Drosophila melanogaster: one gene and its partner. The protein of the gene in region 1 purifies or fractionates together with the protein of each later gene. This does not show direct contact. Each region holds a gene or a part of one and is shown in the gene's direction. Other genes may lie near its edges.

Region 1 (6,740 bases):
GACGACCCAAAAACTGTAGTCCGAGTTGCTCGTTTCGTAACCGCATTGATAAACCGGACTCGAACTGGAATCGCTCCGATGATCCCCCATGCTGCAGTAAAAACCTTGAATTGCCAAATCTTCGACTGCTCAACTTTTTGCTCCAGGCCGACAAATCTTGCACATGGGCGGGAGTTGGCAAACCGATGAGCGGATACTTAATATCTTCGCTTTTTCCCCGCGCTAATTGCCAGGCCAAACCTGTCGCACCGAAGTCGAGATGCCAGCGCGATTAGTTTACAAATTAATTTGCCAATTGAATTTCAGATTTAGACGTCTGGCCGGGCTTCCAAGAACCACCTCCACCTGGTTTCCACATGGGATCGGGCGAGAGTAAAAGTGTATTGTTAATTAGCCACTACACGCCGCCAACCTAAACTAGTTTCCCAGCCCGTCTGGTTTGGCCGCATCTCCGATCTCCGATAGCTGATTATATTTTCATTATTTTTTATTTCTTTCCTACTCCGATCGGAGCGGATCGATCGCATCTCCCAAGGACAGCGGCTTTTGGGTCATTGCGTGGCCGCTTAGCATATTTATGCATATATTATGTACATATATTACCGGCATGCTCCGCCGCTTGGCCGCTGGAAGCATCGGGATGACACAGTTTTCCATCCCATGGGCGTAGCTCCTCGGAAATGGCTACACCAAACCAACCCCCCCCCCTCCCCTCCCCCACCAATCACCTGTAGACCAGTTCCCAAGCAGGCAAAACTAGAAATTCTATATTGTATCAGGCATTTCATTGGATTCCTATGGATCACCATGTTTCTAATAGATATACAACATTCAATTTGTAAGATACATTTATTACATTAGTACTTGCTCTTGTTAATTTCATCATATTTTAATATTTCTAAATGATAGTTTATAAAAATGTGCTCTTATTTCAATTATACATATATAATGTATATTATCTTACCTTATTTTACCAAAAGTAATAATGCTAAATTTTTGATTTGCGGGAGTGGCGTTTAAGACATTACCTTCCAACTAATTGGGTGTGTTACTCATTACCAAGTCTTTCATCCGTCCGTCTGCATATATGCAATGTATATATAGTATAATTTAAAGATACAGATCCAGACCGAAACTACGCCCATGGCGTGTCCTCTTCAGCCTTGAAGTCTCAATTTTTGGCTGGCACTTTGGACGAAAGGACGGTCTTCCAACTCCAACTCGTCGCCAAATGGATGGTACCTGTTTGGCTGGCCTTTTGGTCGATCGATGTAAGCCATTTGCATGCGGACCATCAACCCGGCCAACTCAATTCGAGCCAACTGAATTCGGGGATCGTTGACGCATATGAATTTATTTACGTTCATTTTCGTGTGTGTGTGTGTGTTGCTTTTTTGGTCACATCGACACACTGATCGCAGGGAACGCATACCCTACTCGAACCGCATCCATCGGTCGCTCGATCGCATTTGGTTATTTGACGGTCAATACCCGGAAATGTGCAGCTGACCAGATGGCTTACAAGCTGGAATTTTGTATTTTTGCACAGGGTCAACTATTTATTACTCTATATGCCTAAGAACCACCCATTTTTAGCATATAATTTTATTTTTAAGCGAAACAATTGAATTGAAACGCTAATGGAAATCAATTTAACATCTTCTCTACCTGCATAAATGACCGCTAGATGGCTCTGCAGATCAAGATCACTAAAGAATTTGCGGCATTAAAACTGTAATTATACGATAAATAACATTGTTTTTCTTTTTTTTTAATAGCCTTTGAGTATTCTTAAGAGTTCGCTTACAAATACATAGAAGCATTTCCTAATTCTTCCAAGATTTCGATGTAATCTCCAAGTCATCTGATACAGGTGACGCCTTCAACACAGTTGATCAATGCGCGGCCTGAAGAATTCGCGTGGTGCACATTAAGCTAGGGCATCTGGCCAGCGGTTTTCCGGTCCTCGCCCCTGGACTTTCTTGTTTTTGTGCCATTACATCTCTGGCTCGCCTTTCTTCGTCGCCTTTGGAGCCCCGGCTCCATTCCATTCCCATATCCAGTCCAGCTCCAGCCGCAGCTCGTTTGGCCTGGCTCGGTTTCGTGTGGTAGTAGTAGTAGTAGTGGTGGTGGTGGTGGTGGTGATGGTAGTGGCAGTGGCAGTGGCGGGGGCGGTAGTGGCCCCGCCCATTGGCATCACTCTGCCGCAGCCGACGGCGTCGTCGCGTCGTCGGCGACGTCGAGCAGAGCCGGTAAAAAGTCTTGAAAAGTGCGCCTCTTTGGCGTTCCGTTGTTAGTTTAGTTTAACCATCGCAGCGCTTGAGTCGCGATTAGTTGCTCAAGTATCCAGTTGCCAGGATCGTTGCTCTGCTTTTTTTTTCTCAGACCCCGAGTCCAAAATGAAGTTATTTTTATGTGCCATTGCTGTGACCCTGTGTGTGGCGACAAGTGAGTGTGAATCAATGGATCCGTGGGAATGGATCAATGGATCGTTCAATGGATCAGTGGTGCCCAGTTCAAGTGACTGACGACTGACTGGCCAGTGCCAGCCCATCCGCCAAGTCAGAGTCGCAAATTGTTGCTAATTACTTTGACACTGACACCGAAATCAAGACTCGATCTCGATCTGCTGCCGCTGTGTGTTTTGGCCAGCTAAGTAGCTAAGTAGCTAAGAGCTAAGAGCCATAAGTAGCTAATCATATTTAGCCGTCTCGCAAGACTGGGCCTCAGACGCAAATGTTGAATCTGGTCGCGATTGCGGATCTACAGGCCACATGCAGATCGAGATGGAGGGCCGTTTTCCGTCTGGAAAAACTGGAATGCTGGCCAAGCCCAAGATGCTGTCTGGCTGTCTGGGCCGCTGGGGTTATGCAACTCATGCAGTTTGTTGGCCAAGTGGAAAACGGCTCTTCTGGGCCGCAAGAGAAGTGCATTGAACCCGGACCGAACGTCGTAATCTTGGCATTATGCTGAGTATGAAGCCTTCTCTGACATTTAAATTTCGACATTTCGAATCACTTACCGGTGTGTTACGGAAATCCAAAGAATTCGCGTAGTTTGAATTCCCAATTTCGGTTGTAGAAGATATTGTCAGCATAGCGAATGCAAAGGTGTATAGAAGTATGCAGTGATTTTCGCATTGTATACATTTTTTATAGCTATCCTTTAGGCGCCCAAGTAAGAGATTTCACATTGGTTGAGTAAATAGTACTAACCTATATCTAGCTTACCGAAGTCAGTGGGATTCTGGTCAAATGTATCAAGCGATAGCAACCTGTTCCAATGGAAAACCACTGATCATTTCTTGGGCCACCGGGAGTGGTGGCAACCAGGAAACCGCAAATGCGGAATTGCCATCGGTAATCGAACGTCGTTCGATCTGTTACACTTTCGAGTGCGACTGGGGGTCGCCAGGAAAGTGAAAGTGGGAAAACCAGTTGACTGAAGTGCTTGTTTCTTTCCTTTGTTTTACCCCAACACCAGCCGTGTCCGCCGCCAACTTCGAGTGCCCGAAGCCCAATGGCCAGTTCGCCGATGAGGTGCAGTGCGACAAGTTCTACGTCTGCGACGACGGAGTGGCCAAGGCGAAGCTCTGTCCCGATGGCCTGGTCTTCGATCCACTCAACCGCAAGTTCAACAAGTGCGACCAGCCCTTCAATGTGGACTGCGAGGACCGCACTGAGCTCCGTAAGTAGCCCATCCCATCACCATTTCTATTTCTAGGCTATTGTTACCGACCCCTTGGGAATGGTCACGAAAACTATGTCAAGGCAGAGCGCTAAACAGGTTATTCCAATTACATCATTACATCACCATTAACTATGTAGGGAGTTAAATTTAAATTCGCCTCTTAAGTTCAAATTTAGCTTACTAATGAAAGCATCAGTTGAAAGGATGAATTTGTAGCATACTTTTGGACATCTCTATATTTAAAGCAAATACACCACTACAATGAGCTATCCAAAAGTTATGTAGTTGTGTAGCTCCTTTGGTAGACGGAGGAACTAACCCTGTTCGGTTTCCCCTTCACAGAGGAGCCGAAGTCCAGCAAGTACTGCCCGCGCAAGAACGGCTTCTTCGCGCATCCCGATCCCGCCGTGTGCAACATCTTCTACAACTGCATCGAAGGCGACGCCCTGGAGACCAAGTGCACCGTCGGCCTCCACTTCGACGAGTACTCGGGCACCTGCGTGTGGCCGGATACCGCTAAGCGCGAGGGCTGCAATCCGGAGCAGAGTAAGTGGACCGATTGAGTCGCCGTGCGGCGGAGTGGGCTAATGGTCTGGCATGTGGTGTGTACTTTCAGGAACCTCCGAGACCGGCTTCGTGTGCCCCAAGGATCAGCCAAAGACCGACGATCGCGGCCAGGTGGTGACCCACCCCAAGTATCCGCATCCCACCGACTGCCAGAAGTTCTACGTGTGCCTGAACGGCGAGGATCCCAGGGATCTGGGCTGCCAGCTGGGCGAGGTCTACAACGATGCCACCGAGATGTGCGATGCTCCCGAGAATGTGCCCGGCTGCGAGGACTGGTACAAGGATGTGGACGACAAGAAGGACTAAGCCACTTCCGGTCGCTTCTACTTCTCCTCATCACATCCACACTCACAACTCATGCACATGCACACGCACACACAAGCACACTGAAAGAAATTATCAATCAAATCAAATCGAAACAATTCGAAACAAATCAACACACAGATTCGCGTCTTAGTCACTTAAATTTAGTAGTTCTAGCCCATTTCCTATAGAGCGTATGTGTAGCAGTTAAACTTCAATACTCTGACCTATCTATTTCTTAACTATCTTTCTCTATATCTGACTACTTCTAACTACTTTTCTAACTACCCAAATCTCCATTTCTGTGCCCAACCAAACGCTGCCAAATTGTTGTGTATATATTTCCCGCTTTCAGACTTTCGCCTTATTATTATACAAAAAGAATAAACTGAATTTTTTATAAACTATCTATATCTATCTATCTACTATAAACTATCTTCCCAATCCCAAGACTACTACTATTCCATATACTGTTTCAGCTATCCTATGTGATCTTCGCCTAAAATTTCAATTTCCCTCATCTCTACGTTACTCTACTTAACTTCTTATCATATTCCAAAACCAATTTTCTGTCTATAAGGAAACCCACTCTTTACAAACTTTTGTCCTCCTAAAATTTTCAAACTTGAATCTTTTCCGTTCTCTTTTCTTGATTTCTTTCTTTCTATCTTTAAAATTTCAATTTAGTTCGTGTTTTATTGTTTTGCGAACTGTTACGCTACAGTTTATTATTCCTAAAATGCTCCTTTTTTAAGCATTTCAATCCTGTAATCTTGTATTTCACTTCTACCTCAAGTTTCAAATCTAAATCTTTTCTATACATTCTATCTTCCTCATAAATATTTCCTTGTATTTCGATTATACCTACTGTATAAATACTCTTTTAGACTATGCTATATGTTATTTATTAATAAACATCTTGACTTGCCTGCAAAATCCAAACGATAAGAAATTTTCACGTACCTTATTTAAGTAATCATTCAACCGACTGTAAACCCATGACACCCAAACTCACTTCCCATTCTCCGATCTTTCTCGAATTAAAAAAAACTATGTATTTCGAATCTATACAAAACTAGTGTGCATCTCGTGGGGAAATAGCAAAAAAAGGGAGGGGGGGGGGGGGGGGTTGAGTGGTCGATTGACCAATCAATCAAACCTTTCACTCCACACGCAATATCGGATAATCGCCGTGGACGGGCGGGATCGGTGCATCCATTATCCATCATAGCCCTTTGTCCCTCCATCGGTTGCAAAGAGTCTTTAATTGGCCGAGTGGCCAAGCGGACCGCACATTTACACATGTAAATGAACACAAAAAGCAGGCAAGAGTGCTTATGCAATCGCCGCAGCACGAGCAAAGCAAAGCAAAAGCAAAAGTTTTGCAATAGTTAACAATGTAACGGCAATCGGCAAACGGGGCCCAATCATGAATGAAGCTTATGGTCTGCGCGAGCTTTGCCTTTTACTTTCAATCACACATGTTGCCAGAGAAGCTCGATTTCCGCCTTGGCGTGTTTTTCTTTTTCAAGCCAGGAAATGGACCCGAACTAGCTAGGAAACTAGCTAAATCATTGGCAGTGTGGAGCGAAAGCGACCTTGTGCACAGCGTGGATGCTGGATGCATCCTTTTAGATAGCGTTCTAAGTTTTATCTGATTTTATGCAGTGTTTCCACTGTTTGTGGATAACCTAAATTTCAGCTGAATTCGCCATAGCTCGACAATCTTGCAACTGGGAATCAGTAGAAGCTAAAGTACATTTCGCTGTACTATAGAAGTTTATTCTTCATTTCGCTGTACTATAGAAGTTTATTCTTCATTGCATACAACATTATAAGAGATGTAGAAGCACTAGAGATTTCTGCAATGGGATGCGATTGATATGAAACTTTGTATTCCGAATACCACCGAACTGTAAGTCCTCAGATCGAAAATAAATCCCATAAATTCCGTCTGTTATAGGCTCTCAAGTTGGGAAGATGTGGCGAGAAAATGGATTCGAGCGATATAACATTTGGTATATGGTTTGGTATCAAACATATATTCCCAAATTGCGGCTGTTATGTGCAATTAAGAGCGTAAGATGTGGCTGGAATCTGGATGGATTGGCAGCACTGGCAATCCCAAATCCCGTTTTGCATTAAACACCAGCCAGCAACAATGCAACAATGCAACAATG
Region 2 (6,171 bases), on another chromosome or scaffold:
ATAGGCCGCGGAGCTTGTCGATCGACTATGTGTCTCATTTTTAATCTCATCAGCAACGTCAGCAATCGAACAGCCGGAAGTTGTCTCAGTCAAACCAATTTAAAATGCTCATTTAAACACTTAATAAATTCACTAAGAACCCAATGCTAGCTAGACCAGAAAGCAGAAGTCAAAGAGATGAGGCAAACGCGGAAGAAGTATAAAATAGATGCATTAATAACGTATGCATCGCAGTTAATTGATACCTACATATACATATAAAAAAAACGCAGCCTAAGTTTAAAATACAAATTAGTGTTCTCAATTCGTTTTATTGAAAGTCTATCTGAAATGAGAGAAACAAGAAAAAAAAACAATAATAAGAAAATACTATTTTTATACGCTACATTTAAGCTAAGTATTGCTACTTTTAGTTCAACTATGCGTGCGTGCGTCCAAGACCAATTCTCACATATAGTCTATTTGCCCCTTGGCCCCGCCCCCTTTTTCATCGGTCAACAACTTTTCCAGCGTGTTTACTGTTTTGTAAAGTTTCTTGTATTCATTGTCATGTTTTCCATAAAGAACTATAAACAAAACAACCATTTTTATAGGTTATCTAGTGTCTAGTGTTAACAAATAAAAAACAAAACAAACAAATTATAAAAACGCAAACCATAAATGATAAATGAGAGTAAATTATAAACCATGCGCTGAAAATGTTAAACAACAAAATTCTGAAAAATGTACGGCAAAAAATGTTCAAAACACTGAAATGTAAACGCATAAAATGATGAAATAAAAACTAAAACAACATAAATTGTGCTTCTTATGAGAATAATGATATATTATTAATATTGTATTTTCAATAAAATAGTAATACGAGTACGAAGAGTGCAGCGGGATAGAAGATAGCAGAGCCTAAATTGTTTAGAAAATAAGAAAATCCGTGAAAATTGGTCTAGATCCTCAGTGAATCGTATACAAATTGTCCACAACTTCGATACAAATATTTTGGTTGCAAATTTCATGTTTTAGATCGACGACCCACTTATTCAATTTTATTTGCAACGCACATCCTTATTCATATATCTTTGACATGCCTTTTTGTAAATAAAATCGCAAACACAAAAAAGAGAAAACTTAAAACGAAAACATTATTCATTAAATGAAATAAAATCCAAAGCAGTCGAGTAGAGAAACTGTTGCAATTGCTGTTTGAATAGAAACGCAAACAGACGACAAATTGCAATTGATTAGTTTTAAAAACATTGAATTGCTATTCAAAATAAAGATCTAATAAAGGCAAACTTAAGGATAAAGTTTAGTTTTGCAAGCAAGAAAATTGTGAAAAATAATGAAAGTGTGTTTTATTTCGCCCCAGGCAGTTTCAGATGGCTACATTTACCCTGATAAGAACTCGGATCAAGAAAAGTTATATAAAAATATAATACTATTCATGGGGTCAGCAACATTAATATCGCAATATATATTATATGCGGCTTAATTTGTTCTACTTGATAGCGCCACAATGAATAGATAATCATAGATCTTTTCCGAAGAATTCTTTAAAAATCATTTACAGTGCACACGTAGGTAGTATAATGTATTTGTGGTATTATTTTGGAATCTCTCAAGCACACCTCGCGTATTCCGTGTGCAGCAAGTTACCGTTACGGCCACTCTTGGCCATTTCAATGCCAATCACGCATGCACACAGCTCAAGAGAGAAAGATTCGGAGAGCAGTGCTCACTTAACATTGCCAAGACCAAGACGTCGGAACTCCGAAAGAAACCCAAAACGAAATAACGGCGGCTTAAAGTCTCAGTTCACTCAGATCGCTTGGACAGTGCGGTTCGTTTTTGATTTCGGCCTTAAGCGCGAGCTTTGGAAAAAGTAAAAATATATATATAAAAACGCCGGAACTGCTGCCTAAACCTGTTTTGGCCAAGTGAACAAAACAACAACAATAGCAGCGAAAACGCATGCAAGTGACGAAACGACCTTAAGCAAAAGCAAGAAAAATTATAAATAATTTACTTGGCTCTCAATTAATATTAAACAGACGTATCTATGTATTGTTTGGAAATCTGACCATCTTCAGTGACGAAGCGAACCCGCGAAAAAACCCAAAATGCAAAATGCTGCAGCGTGAATAAGAATTCATAAGCATAAAATCGATTCAAAAATTAAAAAAAAAAATTAAAACGTGGCTTAGGAAGTGGGAGTGAAATAAACCAGACCGGGATAACAAAGGAGGGAATTAAGATGGCATTGAGCAGCAGAGTTCTTTGTCTGCGATTGCAGCACCATTTATTACTGGTTATTTTAACGATTTTCCTGCTTTGCCCCGCCGCCTGTGAGTTAACTAGACTACATTGCACACTTAACAATAACAAAGAAAACCGAGGCAAACTGCAAAGGAAAGAGAAATTTTTACTGGCGTTACGCTCCAGACGGGGCAAAAAACAAATTCACTTTCGTGTAAAACTAGAGAAACTGGTCTAGTCTTGGATTGGTCGCTCAGAGCTCCCGCCAGGGGGCGCCACCTGGCCCAGTGGCAGTAAATCAGAAGCCAAATTGTTGGCTTATTAGTCAGAGCGAAAATCCAAAAAAAAAAAAACAAGTTTGTTGTCATAGTCTTTCGTTTGCGATTTGTTTTCAATGTTTTTTTTTTTGCCGGCTTCAAATTTTCTTAGCTTAACTTTAACTTATCTAAATAGCGGCCCAGAACGAAGAAGAAGATGGTCCGTACCGGGGAAAATATCTGGGGAAACTGAACTCCTACCATCATCAAGTGTCCGGCGATGTGTACGCTGTGAATGAGTACACCTTTCTGATTGTGGGCTTTAACTACGATGGCAACGGGGCGGATACGTTTTTCTGGTCGGGCGCTAGTAATCGGCCGGGACCGCAGGGATTCATTGTGCCCGATGAGTATGGCAAGTAAGTGTCAAAATATATATTATTCCTATGGAGAATAAATTGAAATGAATATATGATGGAAATGCCAACCGTAGAACCAACATTCTGGATCGCTATCACAACAAGGATTTCACGCTGACGCTGCCGGATCGAAAGAAGATAACTGAGATTAAATGGCTGGCGGTTTACGATCTGAGCAGTCAAAACAACTTTGGCGACGTTTATATACCCGAGGAGTTCGATCCACCGATGAGCCAATTGGGCGGAACCTTCTCCAAGCGCAGTCACAATGTGAGCAGCAGCAGTGTTGAGATCTTGGACTCAAAGACCATTCGCATCAAGGACTTTACCTACGATGGGCGTGGCAAGAGGACATTTTTCTGGACAGGAGTCGGGCCACAGCCATCGAGTCGAGGAAGCAAGCTGCCAGATGAGCGAGGATAGTAAGTTTCTCTAGGGATTTAAAAAAAATTTAATCACAAACCCATTTAAACAATTCATCATAAATCATTTAGCCTTGATCCTATAAGACAGTACAACAAGGAGACCATAGAACTGGAACTGCCAGGAGATAAGACTATCTTTGACATCGATTGGATCAGTGTATACGATGTGGCTGACAACGAGAACTATGGTCATGTTCTGTTCAACGATAAACTTAATGTTCCACCTTCCCTAGTGAAAGTTACACCATTCGAATTCTCGCTGCCCAATTGCCGGCAACTACACAAGGATATGCAGGTGTCCTGGGAGGTTTTCGGGCCGCAGATCACGTTTCAACTATCCGGTCAGGTGGGCGGCAACGATTATATGTCTTTCGGCATATCCGGATCTGATGTATCCAGCCAGATGATTGGCTCCGATGTCGTGGTGGCCTATATAGACGACATCAGAGGCTACACCGTGGACTACAATATCACTTCGTTAGCGCCGTGCGTTCAGGTTTTGGGTCAAAACAAAGGAGTTTGCCGTGACGATGTGGTTGGTGGATTGGACAGCTTCCAGTTGAATACGTATAGTCGCAAGGATGGCATTAATACGATCAGTTTTAGGCGGACGCTCAAGTCATGTGAGTTGGTTATCATAAGTGGTATGCCTTTTGCTTACTGATGCAGCTCTTTCACATTTTAGCCGATGATGGCGATAAGGAGATCTTCCTAGACCGCAGCAACTACGTGATCTGGGCATTTGGCCCATTGGACTCCAACAACGAGCCCGCCTTTCACACTTACTATCCCAAGAGCGATATAGTGATAGATTTTAACACCACAGAACCGGTTAATGATTGCTTTGCATTTACAAAACGAGCGGAGACGACTAATCCTCCAGTGTGGGAGCGAACCAGGATAACAGATGCGTAAGACTCCAATCTTCCTGCAATGAAAATTTAATATAGTTCCTTGTTTTGCAGAACGGTACGCACATTCAACGCCTACTTGGGACCCTCTGGAGGACTTCGTGGCTATCAGGGATTGACGAATCATGTGTCCAGTGGCTTGGCCTGGTACATCAACGGCTACATGATTCCAGAGCTTTACCTAAAGCGTGGTCTGACCTACACCTTTAAGGTTAGGGGTGGCAATAATCCTCACTCGCCGGAGCACTATCATCCGTTGGTTATCACCGATGATCCCCAGGGTGGGTATGACCGACTGTCTGATGCAAAGCAGAGTGAGATTCGTGTATTAGCCGGTGTTGAATTCACCCGGAGAGGCAGGCCCAAGCCCACGGCTGCTGGTCCCCTGTGCCTGTCCAGATATCCTCAAAATAGTGATCGTCGACTGGATGATAACTTCCCCACTTTCAAGAAGTTCAATCGATCCCTCATCACCGAGTGTGTAGAAGGGGAACCGGCTCTATTGGAAATTACACCGAATATCACATGGCCGGATACTGTGTACTACAACTCCTTTACCCATGGCAATATGGGCTGGAAGATTCACATCGTGGACAGTTATACCAACTTGAAGAGTGGATCGATGGGCTTATCCTGGTCCTTGTGCATCATCCTGCTACCGTGGCTCGTGCTCCAGAACTGACTGTTTTCTCATTCTTAGATTCTCCTATTTAGTGTCTTAGTCTAAATTAAGCAGTCACAATCTATGTATTTGATACGCGTGTGTAGAATGTATGCTAAATGTTGTGTATATTATTATTTATATGATATTTAAATACAGAACTGTGTTGTACTTTAGAAGAATGAGCTATGAAGTTTTGACCCAACAAAAAATCTAATATACATCATTTTTTCAGTGAATTAGATTTATTTGAAATGTTATTGTAGAATCATGGCAGCTGTTATTCTGGATGAAACATGGTGTACAAATCACCGAAATGGGCGCCTAAGATTCGGATTCACGTTCTACCTTCTTGCGCGGCACAGGCTTTCCGTTCACCCACGGAGTGAACTTCACATGGCTGATGTTTCGCTTGGCGGCGTCTGCACGGAGCTCAATGCGCAGGGCCTCTCGCACCACACGGGCTGCGATGTTGGAATACTGGATATAGGTAATACCCAGATCTCTCCAGGCTTTCATCTTGCAGTAATATGGGATTAACTATAAAGATGTTAGGATAATAAGTCAAAAAAAGCTATCTGCATATAAAGGATCTTACCTTCTTCCGTTAAGAATTCGATATAAAACCGAGCGACGGGTTTCTTTTCAAGATTTCGCACACGATTGGTAAAGCCTATGTTAATATTTAATTGCATTAAGTTACAATATCAAAGTAAGTTAAATCAAAGCGCCTTGCTACCTCCTCACTTTAAGATCTTTTAAGGCAAAGCACGTGTCTTTTTATCGATGTTTTTTTTTTATCCAGACAGGGCTACAAACTTAATCGAACTAGGAGTTCTATGGATGCGATAAAAGTTCGATTTGAAACCAAATCGATACAATTTTTTAAATATATTCAAAATCCAGCTTACATGAAATGTAAATATAGCTTACTTTTCACCCCCCAAGCTCGCATATTATATGGTATGCATTTATTTAATTAAATACAAATATATATTTTATGCAACTTTAGTAAAGCACTTAATATTACCATAATACCAGTGTCATACCCGCATAGAAAAGGAGCGGCCTTTTGTGTTTTTCTCGGCACTTGCGCACTTGGGCACACTTATTTGAATATAAGTCACTTGAATTGATTTTTTCAACACGCAAAGGTTGTAACTTAGCACTATGAGCACTCTTGATGCCAAAAAGATAGAAGAGGCGGAGGCCTTGATAGGACAGACGGATAGTGCCGCGAATGAGTAT

Evidence for each region.
Region 2: the proteins of obst-A (region 1) and knk purify together in Drosophila melanogaster (affinity purification with western blotting, with the first as the bait; one study listed by BioGRID). This does not show direct contact.

Annotation. Positions count from the first base shown.
Region 1 is NC_004354.4:20,237,579-20,244,318, forward strand, and holds obst-A (obstructor-A), read left to right. Parts: upstream 1-2,276; 5' UTR 2,277-2,399; coding exon 2,400-2,448; intron 2,449-3,483; coding exon 3,484-3,687; intron 3,688-4,032; coding exon 4,033-4,236; intron 4,237-4,306; coding exon 4,307-4,563; 3' UTR 4,564-5,631; downstream 5,632-6,740.
Region 2 is NT_033777.3:10,121,297-10,127,467, reverse strand, and holds knk (knickkopf), read left to right. Parts: upstream 1-1,803; 5' UTR 1,804-2,248; coding exon 2,249-2,339; intron 2,340-2,703; coding exon 2,704-2,926; intron 2,927-3,000; coding exon 3,001-3,348; intron 3,349-3,389; exon of another isoform or gene 3,390-3,420; coding exon 3,421-3,974; exon of another isoform or gene 3,975-4,036; coding exon 4,037-4,262; exon of another isoform or gene 4,263-4,279; intron 4,280-4,316; coding exon 4,317-4,944; 3' UTR 4,945-5,103; downstream 5,104-6,171. Other genes in the region: ATPsynepsilonL (ATP synthase, epsilon subunit-like), read right to left, coding at 5,248-5,442; gammaSnap2 (gamma soluble NSF attachment protein 2), read left to right, coding at 6,094-6,171.